Arabidopsis thaliana: one gene and its partner. The protein of the gene in region 1 interacts with the protein of each later gene in a pairwise test. Each region holds a gene or a part of one and is shown in the gene's direction. Other genes may lie near its edges. The genes, in order: NRP1 and HON4.

The links.
Region 2: the proteins of NRP1 (region 1) and HON4 interact in a two-hybrid assay, tested with the Arabidopsis thaliana proteins (one study listed by BioGRID).

The regions. Positions count from the first base shown.
Region 1 is NC_003070.9:28,017,084-28,022,347, reverse strand, and holds NRP1 (NAP1-related protein 1), read left to right. Parts: upstream 1-2,298; 5' UTR 2,299-2,447; coding exon 2,448-2,576; intron 2,577-3,041; coding exon 3,042-3,164; intron 3,165-3,247; coding exon 3,248-3,298; intron 3,299-3,429; coding exon 3,430-3,501; intron 3,502-3,621; coding exon 3,622-3,735; intron 3,736-3,817; coding exon 3,818-3,882; intron 3,883-3,997; coding exon 3,998-4,061; intron 4,062-4,153; coding exon 4,154-4,182; coding exon of another isoform or gene 4,183-4,210; intron 4,211-4,297; coding exon 4,298-4,345; intron 4,346-4,485; coding exon 4,486-4,585; 3' UTR 4,586-4,764; downstream 4,765-5,264. Other genes in the region: AT1G74580 (Pentatricopeptide repeat (PPR) superfamily protein), read right to left, coding at 1-1,571; CYP98A9 (cytochrome P450, family 98, subfamily A, polypeptide 9), read right to left, coding at 4,799-5,264. UniProt on the Arabidopsis thaliana protein: Acts as a histone H2A/H2B chaperone in nucleosome assembly, playing a critical role for the correct expression of genes involved in root proliferation and patterning.
Region 2 is NC_003074.8:6,168,451-6,174,113, reverse strand, and holds HON4 (winged-helix DNA-binding transcription factor family protein), read left to right. Parts: upstream 1-2,108; 5' UTR 2,109-2,555; coding exon 2,556-2,765; intron 2,766-2,851; coding exon 2,852-3,733; coding exon of another isoform or gene 3,734-3,805; exon of another isoform or gene 3,806-4,188; intron 4,189-4,276; coding exon 4,277-4,342; intron 4,343-4,445; coding exon 4,446-4,730; 3' UTR 4,731-5,151; downstream 5,152-5,663. Other genes in the region: HAL3A (HAL3-like protein A), read left to right, coding at 5,485-5,663.

The DNA.
Region 1 (5,264 bases):
TCCACCATAGTTTTATATGTTTCCATCACATCTTCAAACTTTGAAGTTTTGCAGAGACCATTTAACAAAGAGTTGTAAGTGTACACGTCAGGATCAACACCGTTGTCCAACATAACATCTAATATCTCAAGTGCGTTTTCCATTTTCAACTGTGTAGAATAACCATGAATCAAAATGTTGAAAGTAAATATGTCAGGAAAGTACCCTTTGGAGATCATGACTTTAACAAGACCATCAGCATCAGAAACACATCCCATCTTGCATAGTCCATTTACGAGTATGTTAAAAGTCTGTACCTCAGGAATCAAACCCTTTTCAGACATTTCATTCGCCAACTGAGCAGCCTCTAGAATCATACCCTGGTTAGACAATCCCTTGATCAGTGTGTTGTAAAGAATAACGTTAGGCTTTATCCCTTTCCCTAAGGCCTCATTAAATAAAGCTAAAGCACGGTTTGTTTCACCTTCATGACACAACCCGTCAATTAAGGAGCGATATGTGAACTGATCAGGCACAAATCCATTGAAAACAGCATCACCTACAATCCTTTCTGCAAGTTGTACCATCCCACCTTTGCAATATCCAGCTATTAGTGTGTTATAGGTATAACTATCAGGCTCAAGCCCTTCATTCACCATTTTCCCCAAGTAAACCTCTGCCTCCTGAAACTTGGAATTCTTACATAAGCCATATATAAGATTGTTATACGTGATGACATCAGGTTTGGGTCCCTGTTCTATGAGACAACCTACCATACGAACCGCACCATCAAGCTCACCTCTCTGACAAAGCCCTTGAATGAATAAATTATAAGTAAACAGATTCGGTAAAACACCTCTTTTGATAACCTTATCAAGTAGTTTTTCACACTCCTTAACATCTCCTTTCTTGCAAAGAACACGTAGAAGCTTGTTGAACGTACTAAGACAAAGCGAAACACCCGATGCAAGCATCTTCCCAAACAACTCATATCCCTCAGCCTTAAAATTCTCCTCATAAAACCCACCAACCACAGTACAATAAGCAACCACATTCATCTCACAGCCTTGAGAAGACATATTATTAAGAAGCCTCAAAGCAGCGTGAGGCCGACTGGTCTTACAAAACGACTTCATCCTAATCGTAAACGAGTAAACATCAGGCGTAATACCTCTATCCCGCATCCTCATATACACCTTGTGAGCTTGATCAAAGTAACCACTATCAACCAATACACTCATAATAGCATTATAAGAGAAAACCGTAGGCTCACAATCATAAAAATCCATCCTTTCAAACACATTAACAGCTTCTTGAACTTTCCCTTTCCTACCATAATTCTTCATTGCCCCAACATAAACCCCTTCAAGCATATGGTTACCAACATTCTCCCGCATATCCACTAAAACCTCTTCCATGGCTTCGAATTTTCCATAATATCCAAGCTTTTCGATGACACTGCGGTAAGTAGATAAAGTATGCTTGAAACCAACCTCTTTTCTCATCGAATTGAACATTTCTAGAGCTTTCATAGGATCCTTCTGACATTTTATAACTGCAGTTACATGTTTCGGAAGCAGAGGAGGACCCATAAAGGAGAATAATCGTAACCTAATGAAAATACTTTGAATCCCTAAAATCCAGATACGAGAGAAATAGCAAAGAAGACAGAAGAACCCTAGACAATTCTCAGCGGAGAGAATAAAATCGAGAAAAAGGTAGATCCTTTCTCAATGAGGAGACTCAGAAAACAACTGGAGAAATCAATTACAATGGATGAAAGTAAAGTTCACTGATGAGCTTCAACGGCTACAACGCTGGGAGTAGTAAACCCATCGCACTCGGCGAAGAAGCGCGTAGGAATAATTTGAATAAATAATTATGTTTTCTTTCTAGAACACAAAAGTTGATATGGCCGAGTTGGTCTAAGGCGCCAGATTAAGGTTCTGGTCCGAAAGGGCGTGGGTTCAAATCCCACTGTCAACATTTCCTTTTTTTTTTTGTTTTTTTCTTCTCAAATTGTTTTATTTTAAAGTGGATATATTTTGTCAAGTTATAATATTTTAGAGCAATAATGTTTTAGTGGTCCTGAAGTAAAATCATACGACACAAAAAGGGAAAAATTAAATGACTTAATCCGCTTTTATTAAATCAACTATTTTAATAGGATAACTTAAAAAAGCAAGTGAAGAGAAAATTCTAAAGTACCCTAATATTGATTTTTAAATTGACTAATATACCCTTATTTGCTTCAGCTGGCGCAACCTGATTGGTCCACATAAACCCCTCAAAACCCTAAGTTCCCTTTTGCCCACTCTCACACTTCACAAGCATAAACTCTCATCGGGAGCTAGGGTTTTAGCTGATTCTCTTGTGACGGAACCACAAGAAGAGAAGAGACCAAAAGGAGGAGCCAAAATCCTCTCTTTCTTTGGAATTAGGGTTTCCTCAAAGGAAGTGAACTGAAAATGGTCGCGGACAAGAGCAAGAAGTCGAAAATTGAAGAGAAAGGCGAAGAAGAAAACTTGGAGCAAATCGACGCAGAGCTTGTTCTCTCAATTGAGAAGCTTCAGGAGATTCAAGACGACCTCGAGAAGGTTAAAAAATCTCCTCTTTCACTTTTCGTTAATTTGCTCTGATTCTCCAGATTTTTCCCCTTTTTCTTAACCGGTGTCATGTGCTCTGTATCCTGGTAAAGTTGAATGGATTCCAATTTTGATTTTTATGGTACAGATTTTACTTTAATGTTCATATGTAGCTGGATTTGAATGAAGGATCGTCTTTTTGTATTGTTGCTACAGTAGTGATAGTTGTGTATTCGTACAATGCAATTTGAGAACATGTTGTGTGATTTCTGCTTATTTATAATTTAATTCATGTGACTGCTCTCTGTAATTACTCCTCCAATAGCTATAGAGAAGTTAGTGGAAAGAGTACTGTTTGAGAAGTTAAAGCTCAAACAATTGCATATCATTAACTCATAAGTACAGTTAGAATTGACATGAACTCTAATGAGTGTTTTTTTCTTCTTCTTTCTCCTAACTCTGGTTTGTTGGTTATAGATTAACGAAAAGGCCAGTGACGAGGTCTTGGAAGTAGAGCAGAAATATAACGTGATACGGAAACCTGTCTATGACAAGCGCAATGAAGTTATCCAATCGATTCCTGGCTTTTGGATGACTGCTGTAAGTGTTTATAGGTTGTTTTCAGTTACTGTTTTTAAACATCTACTACTTATTGACCAATGACCATTACACATTCTTTGCAGTTTTTGAGTCATCCTGCCTTAGGCGACCTCTTGACTGAAGAAGACCAAAAGGTTTGAGTTATCTTTCGGCATGTTTTCCAGATTATAATGCCGATAAGGCGATAACTATCCGATTGGCATTCATTTTTTCTGTACAGTTACATTACTTTTTACCAATTCATTTGATTTCCCTGTTTTTACAGATTTTTAAGTACTTGAACTCTCTGGAAGTGGAGGATGCCAAAGATGTGAAATCTGGATACTCTATAACTTTTGTATGTTTCTTTATCCAGCTCATTTTTCTAATCTGTTGTTATTGTCTTCTCATATTGATCTGAGAAGATTACTGGGTTTTGTTGTTATTTAACTTGTTAAATTGGGGGTATCAATCGCAGCACTTCACTTCAAACCCGTTCTTTGAGGATGCCAAGCTTACCAAGACATTTACTTTCCTTGAAGAAGGAACAACAAAAATCACTGCAACTCCTATCAAATGGAAGGAGGGCAAGGTAAATATAAACAGATAATAAGTTTCTTACTTTATTTGTCTCTCTTCGGCGTTATTTTTAATGATGTTTCTCAATAATGTAGGGCTTGCCAAATGGAGTGAACCATGATGATAAGAAAGGAAATAAACGTGCATTGCCAGAGGAGAGGTATTGTTCTAGACCCCATTAAGTGATCATATTCTTAGTGAAATTCTTGTGGTCATGAATATATGATGAATATGATACAAAAAGTTAAATTCTTTCCATTTAACTTTCTCTTCAGTTTCTTTACTTGGTTTACTGATGCTCAACATAAGGAAGATGCTGGGGATGAGATTCATGATGAGGTACATACTCATCTACTTTCTGACTTGTTATACGTTATAGACCGTTTTTATTATCTGCCCAATTTGAACTCCGAAATCTTCTCTCGGAGCAGGTTGCTGATATTATCAAGGAAGATCTCTGGTCCAACCCTCTCACCTACTTCAACAATGTAAACTATTTATCATTTCACTTTCAATCTTGAATCCTCTTTCTGTAGAGGTAATAAGTTGCTTAAAGATTTTGTTGATGTATGTAGGATGCTGATGAAGAGGATTTTGATGGAGATGATGATGGTGACGAAGAGGTAAAACAATTGTCTCATTGCTCCTCAAAATACATTGATTAATTGAGTATCAGTCTGGACATTGTTATTATGAGTCACATGTTTTGTTACTGTGCACCATCTCTTAACCTTGAAAATCTTTGAAACCATAATCTCTTCAGGGAGAAGAAGACGATGACGATGAAGAGGAGGAAGATGGTGAGGAATGATGGGAGCCCAAAGATAACACATTGCTGGCTTGCTTCTATAACAGATGTGTAAAGTTTGTGTTATGAGGTTCTCAATTTTAGCAATGATGAGACTAAGCTTTCTCTTTTGGAATATTTAGTTTATTTACTATCAATAGCTACATTCTGTTTGTACGAACCATGTCATCATCCATGTCCTAAATCTTGCCATAACTACATCTGTTTTTCGCAATTGAGAATCTCTCTTTATCTTATGTTGATTAATATAATCTATCTCAGTTAAAAGTTAAAGGTATAACTCTTGTGGCAGCCTGGACGAAGCTAGAGCCTGCAATGGAGCCTTCATGTAACAAACTAATCCAGGCTTCTCGGTCATGTCAATGTGTTCTCGAGGTGTAGAGGATGTCCATGAGAAACAATGCAACAAACTACCTAGTGCTAATGTCATCATATTGAGGCTGAGTTGAGCGGCTGGACACACCCGTCTTCCCGACCCAAACGGAAGAACCCGAAAGTCTTGACCTTTAACGTCCGTTTCCTCCACAAGAAACCTCTCTGGTCTAAACTCATCTGGGTTACTCCAGTTTGCAGGATCTCGAGCAATCGCCTGCACGTTGACATAAACCGTGGCTCCCTTAGGAACTTTGTACCCACCTACCTGAACTGATTCGCTGGCCTTGTGTGGAAGCATCAATGGTGTTGGAGGGTGAAGCCGGAGAGCTTCTTTGAGTACGCATTGCAGAAACGGCAGT
Region 2 (5,663 bases), on another chromosome or scaffold:
CTAAAAACACCGCAGATGAATTTAACTTGCGTCCGTGACATAACCAGATTAGGAAAAATTAGGCTAACAAAATTAACAAATCGTATAACTATTTTTTGATAAGGACAGTATATAATATTGAAATTCAAAAAGCGTGTTTGAGAAAAAGAAAATAAAAATGGTGGTGGTGGGTAGGGCCAATAGCCTAATAATAAAAGAAGGTTATGTTTGAGATAATTGTAAGATGCCAGCAAATGTCTGCTCTGTAACTCTTCTAATGCACGTCTCCGGTCGTGTGTGACTCGAGAGGACCCAACCAAATATGCAAAAACATTTAAATAAAAAACATAAACAAATCATTTCAAATTCGAGAGAAAAATAAAAGGGTCTTAAAACTGTTAATTATGCAACAGATAGGCCCATGTAATGTTGAGGTCCATCACATAAGTAAACATTATATTGAAGGCTGATAATTCGGCCCGTTAAAAGTGTTGTTTATAAGAGGTTGTGTGTACTGTGTAGTGTGACATATCAGAGGCGACAAAACATATCATAATCTTTTGTTTTGTTGGAATTCTGGTGTGGTGATCGTCTTTTGTCATCTGCTTACTTGGTGTCTGGTGATTGTGTCTTCTGATCGTCTATTACCAGCCGCACTTTGTTTGACCCTTGCTTGAAAGTATTCGAGCACACGCATGCACACATCACAACACAGATATATTAGTATTAAAAGAATGAGCATACATAAATTGTTGTATGAAAACGACACGACTCAGGTGATACTTGGAGTTTGAATGATGAGCATATATCGGGTTTTACTTGCGCTTAATGCATAAGCATAAACGTACTGTACTCTTTATAATATCGTATTGTAATGTCAGTAATATGTACCAACAATTCTCTTGTTGGATGATTCTTTTTGGGTACCGTGATGTATGGGCTGGCTTTACCAAGGAGATAGGTGTGACACTTGTTCCCCCATAGATTTATCAATTGTTCTTAGTCCCATTGATTTTATTTGAGATTTGCTACTTCAAAATTCAAATGGTGAAATCTATCCAACTACCCTTTTGAATCCACACATATAATACACAAAAGTTCATTAAACAATATTAAAATGTCAAATGAAAAAAAAAGTTCTTCTAAAAAAAAAAAAAAAACATTAACTATATGTAAAACCACTAAATATCTTTAAAATTATCGCTCACTTTGTATCCTTTACATTACCCGTTAAAAATGCTTGTTTGTTATAAATTTTGCATTAAACAATTATAAATTCTAGTTTTTCATATTTTAAATTTTCTTAAATTCATCGTTCACTATTTATCATTTTTATTATAATGTTTAAATAAATAACGCTTCTTTGTACAAAACAAATTAAAATTTGCAATCAATACTTACTAATTGCATGTTTTTCCATATTTTGAAAATTTTAAAACTTATCTTTCATCATTTAATATTTCAATTATTCTTTTAAATATATCACGCTTATTTGTGATACAAGACAAAAGAAAAATGTATTTAGCACTTGGTAAATATATTTTTCCATATTTTATTTTTTTCATAAAGTTATCTTTCATCATCTATAATAAGAGGTTTACATTTATTTGTTATTTTTGTTTTACGTCGTACATTTATATATATATATATAGATATATATATATATATATATCAAATATTTTGTTAAAATGCAACTAAAGTTAAAATTTAATTCAAATGTAAATATCATACATTACTGTTTAAAAATATTTTAATGTCTTGTAATTTTTCCTTAATGAAAAACATATTTGATGTATCATTTTGTGATTAAGTTAAAGGGTCGCAAATAGATATATACTCTAACAAAATTCACAGAAAATATAAATTTGAAACTAAATTTTATGTAAATGTATCGATTTCAAATCCTAAACAGAGGACATAGAAGTTAGTAATTGCATTTGTTTTGCCATACTCATCTCAATACATCTCTTACTTATCATACACTCTTTAATGGAGTTTGTTACATGGGTTACTTAATGTAACAGTGTTTGCTATATACTTCATTCGATGTTATTCTAAAATCAACAAAATTGTTTTACACTGAAAGCGAGGAGTTCTTTTCAGAAAAATAATTTAAAATTTTGGCGGTCCATTTTTAAAATTTTGGTGATTTTTTATTACATTGGAGCGAAAATGTAGCAAAATTCTAAGAGGCAAAAATGAAAAAAATCAAAGTAAAGAAACACAAAATCCTTAAAATAAAAGACAAAATGATATGACACGTCATCGATCCTCGTCAAAACCGTCGATAGAAAACAAATCAACGGTTAGATTTAATAGTAATCTTTCTTCTCATCCTTTCGTCTCTACTCCTCCGCCTCTCTCTCCCCAACCTAACTTTATTTATTTCTCTCACAAAAATTTTATTTTCACAAAAACAAAAAAATCAAAAGAGCTCTCAGAGCAAAAAACAAAAAAAAAGAAAAAAAAACCCTAAATCTAAATCTCACCTTCCACCTCTGTCTTTTTTTTTTTTGTTCTTTTTTTTTTTTTTACTGTATCTTCTCTTCTCTTTGCTCTGCAAAAATCTCACATCCATGGATCCATCTCTTGGTGATCCTCATCATCCTCCTCAGTTCACCCCTTTTCCTCATTTTCCCACCTCCAATCATCATCCTTTAGGACCAAATCCGTACAATAACCATGTCGTCTTCCAACCGCAGCCGCAAACGCAAACGCAAATCCCGCAACCGCAGATGTTTCAGTTATCTCCACATGTTTCAATGCCCCACCCTCCTTACTCCGAAGTAAGTTCAATCTTAAAAGCCTCTTCCTTTATAACTAAATTCAGTTACTTTTTTTTTTGTTACTAATTTTTTTTTTCTGTGTGTAGATGATTTGCGCTGCGATTGCGGCGTTAAACGAACCGGATGGTTCGAGCAAGATGGCAATTTCGAGATACATCGAGAGATGTTACACCGGTTTAACTTCTGCTCATGCTGCTTTGTTGACTCACCATCTCAAGACTTTGAAGACCAGTGGTGTTCTTTCTATGGTTAAGAAATCTTACAAAATTGCTGGTTCTTCTACTCCTCCTGCTAGTGTAGCTGTTGCTGCTGCTGCCGCCGCTCAAGGTCTCGATGTTCCCAGATCTGAGATTCTCCATTCAAGTAACAACGATCCCATGGCTTCTGGCTCTGCTTCTCAGCCTCTGAAACGAGGTCGTGGTCGTCCTCCTAAGCCTAAACCTGAATCTCAACCACAACCACTACAGCAACTTCCACCGACCAATCAAGTCCAGGCTAACGGACAGCCAATCTGGGAACAGCAGCAAGTTCAATCACCTGTTCCGGTTCCGACTCCGGTTACAGAGTCGGCGAAGAGAGGACCTGGTCGTCCAAGGAAGAACGGTTCTGCTGCTCCTGCTACTGCACCAATCGTTCAAGCTTCGGTTATGGCTGGAATTATGAAACGTAGAGGTAGACCACCGGGTCGTCGAGCTGCTGGGAGACAGAGGAAGCCCAAATCCGTTTCTTCTACTGCCTCTGTGTATCCTTATGTTGCTAATGGTGCTAGACGCAGAGGAAGGCCTAGGAGAGTTGTTGACCCTAGCAGTATTGTTAGTGTTGCTCCAGTAGGTGGTGAAAATGTGGCAGCGGTTGCGCCAGGGATGAAGCGTGGACGTGGACGACCACCTAAGATTGGTGGTGTTATCAGTAGGCTTATTATGAAGCCTAAGAGAGGACGAGGACGTCCTGTAGGTAGACCCAGAAAGGTAAATTTTCACATCCCCCAATTCTGTATTCGTGATCTCGATTTTGCAATATCTGACGTTTACTGTGCATGATTGTTCACTGCTCCGCCGTCAATTTAGATTGATAAAGTTTGATACTTGTGTTGCAATCATTGTGGAATTCAAACTCAATGTCACTTTCCGCTTTTGAGCATTGTTGTCTGTTTTCGCGTATCCAAAATCTGACTAGTATCTAGTGTTTTTATTATATTTTCGTGTCCCTTACTTTTGGCTTATCCTTATCTGGTTTCTCTGTTTTATTTTAATTTTCGTTTGGATAATTAAGACCAAAATAGTCGGTAATGTATCGCTATAGCTAGGAATAATTTTATCATCAATTAGTGTGTTAATCCGGCTTAATGGTTTCTAAGTCATCACATAGTGTCTTCTTCTCTGTATCTTCTATTTTACTAGTAACGTGTTCAATTGGATCTAAAGTAAGACTTCTTAATTTAACCATTAATGTCTTTCTTGAATATGTTATACTTTTATCCAACAATTTTATTTTTTGGTTCATGAACCTAGATTGGAACATCAGTCACGACTGGGACACAAGATTCTGGAGAACTCAAGAAGAAGTTTGATATTTTTGTAAGTCTACTTGTTGACAATAAACAGTTTGGCTGTCCTTTATTTGATTAAAGTATTCGATTCTACTTGCTTATGTTTGGTTTTTGTATGTAAATGATTTCAGCAAGAGAAAGTGAAAGAAATTGTGAAGGTGTTGAAGGATGGAGTTACAAGTGAGAATCAAGCAGTGGTGCAAGCCATAAAAGATCTGGAAGCACTAACAGTGACGGAGACCGTTGAGCCACAAGTTATGGAAGAAGTGCAGCCAGAGGAGACTGCAGCACCACAGACTGAAGCTCAACAAACTGAAGCTGCTGAGACACAAGGAGGACAAGAAGAAGGACAAGAAAGAGAAGGAGAAACACAGACCCAGACAGAAGCAGAGGCAATGCAAGAAGCTCTGTTCTGAAGAATAATAATGATCTAGAAAACAACCTAGACATAATAGCCTTGGTGTTTGGCGTTAGGAGTGTTTTTTTTTAGTTGTTTTAGGTGTTGGAATCGCATCTTAAATTATATAAAAATCTATAAGGAATTTTAATTTTTCTAGGTTTTGTTGTCTGCAGAAGAAGAAATAGTAGACTCGTTAATGGTGTTGTTGTCGGTGTGTCTTTAACCAAACCATAAGACGTGGCTGTAAATTAGCGATGTTTCTAGTCTTCCATCTTTAATAATCTCTTATTGCGTCTGTGCCTTTGTTTTTTTCAATCTGTCTTCTGCTCTCTGCTTCCGCTTTGCACATTGTGGAGATGTTTTCGTGTCTATTTTCCACCCAACGGTTTTAGCAGGTCGACTCTTACTTAATTTCTTACTAATAATATCTTCATTTCCATCTCACGTTGGCTCAAAAAGCTATATAACTTTGACTCGAAAACATGTTAGAGTTAACACAACAGTCGAACTCAGAATCGAAATTGCAGTCCAAACGAAGTAAATATAAAATGAAATATATCGATATTCACAGCCCATACGACCGAGGCCTAAAAAAGAGTGAGTCAATGGCCCATTTGACCAGCAACTAAAATGATTGTCCTCTCGGGCCTCTCTCTTTCTCTTCCCTCTAAAACATTTTGATATTCTCTTCGACCAGATCAATTTTTCGGTTAGGGTTCTTCGCCGAACCATTGGCTACTTTGCTAGATCTCTGAAGGTGTAAAAGAGCTATGGAGAATGGGAAAAGAGACAGACAAGACATGGAAGTGAATACCACACCGAGGAAGCCTCGTGTACTACTCGCTGCAAGTGGAAGCGTCGCTGCTATCAAATTCGGCAATCTCTGCCATTGCTTCACCGAATGGGCAGAAGTCAGAGCCGTCGTTACGAAATCATCTCTACATTTCCT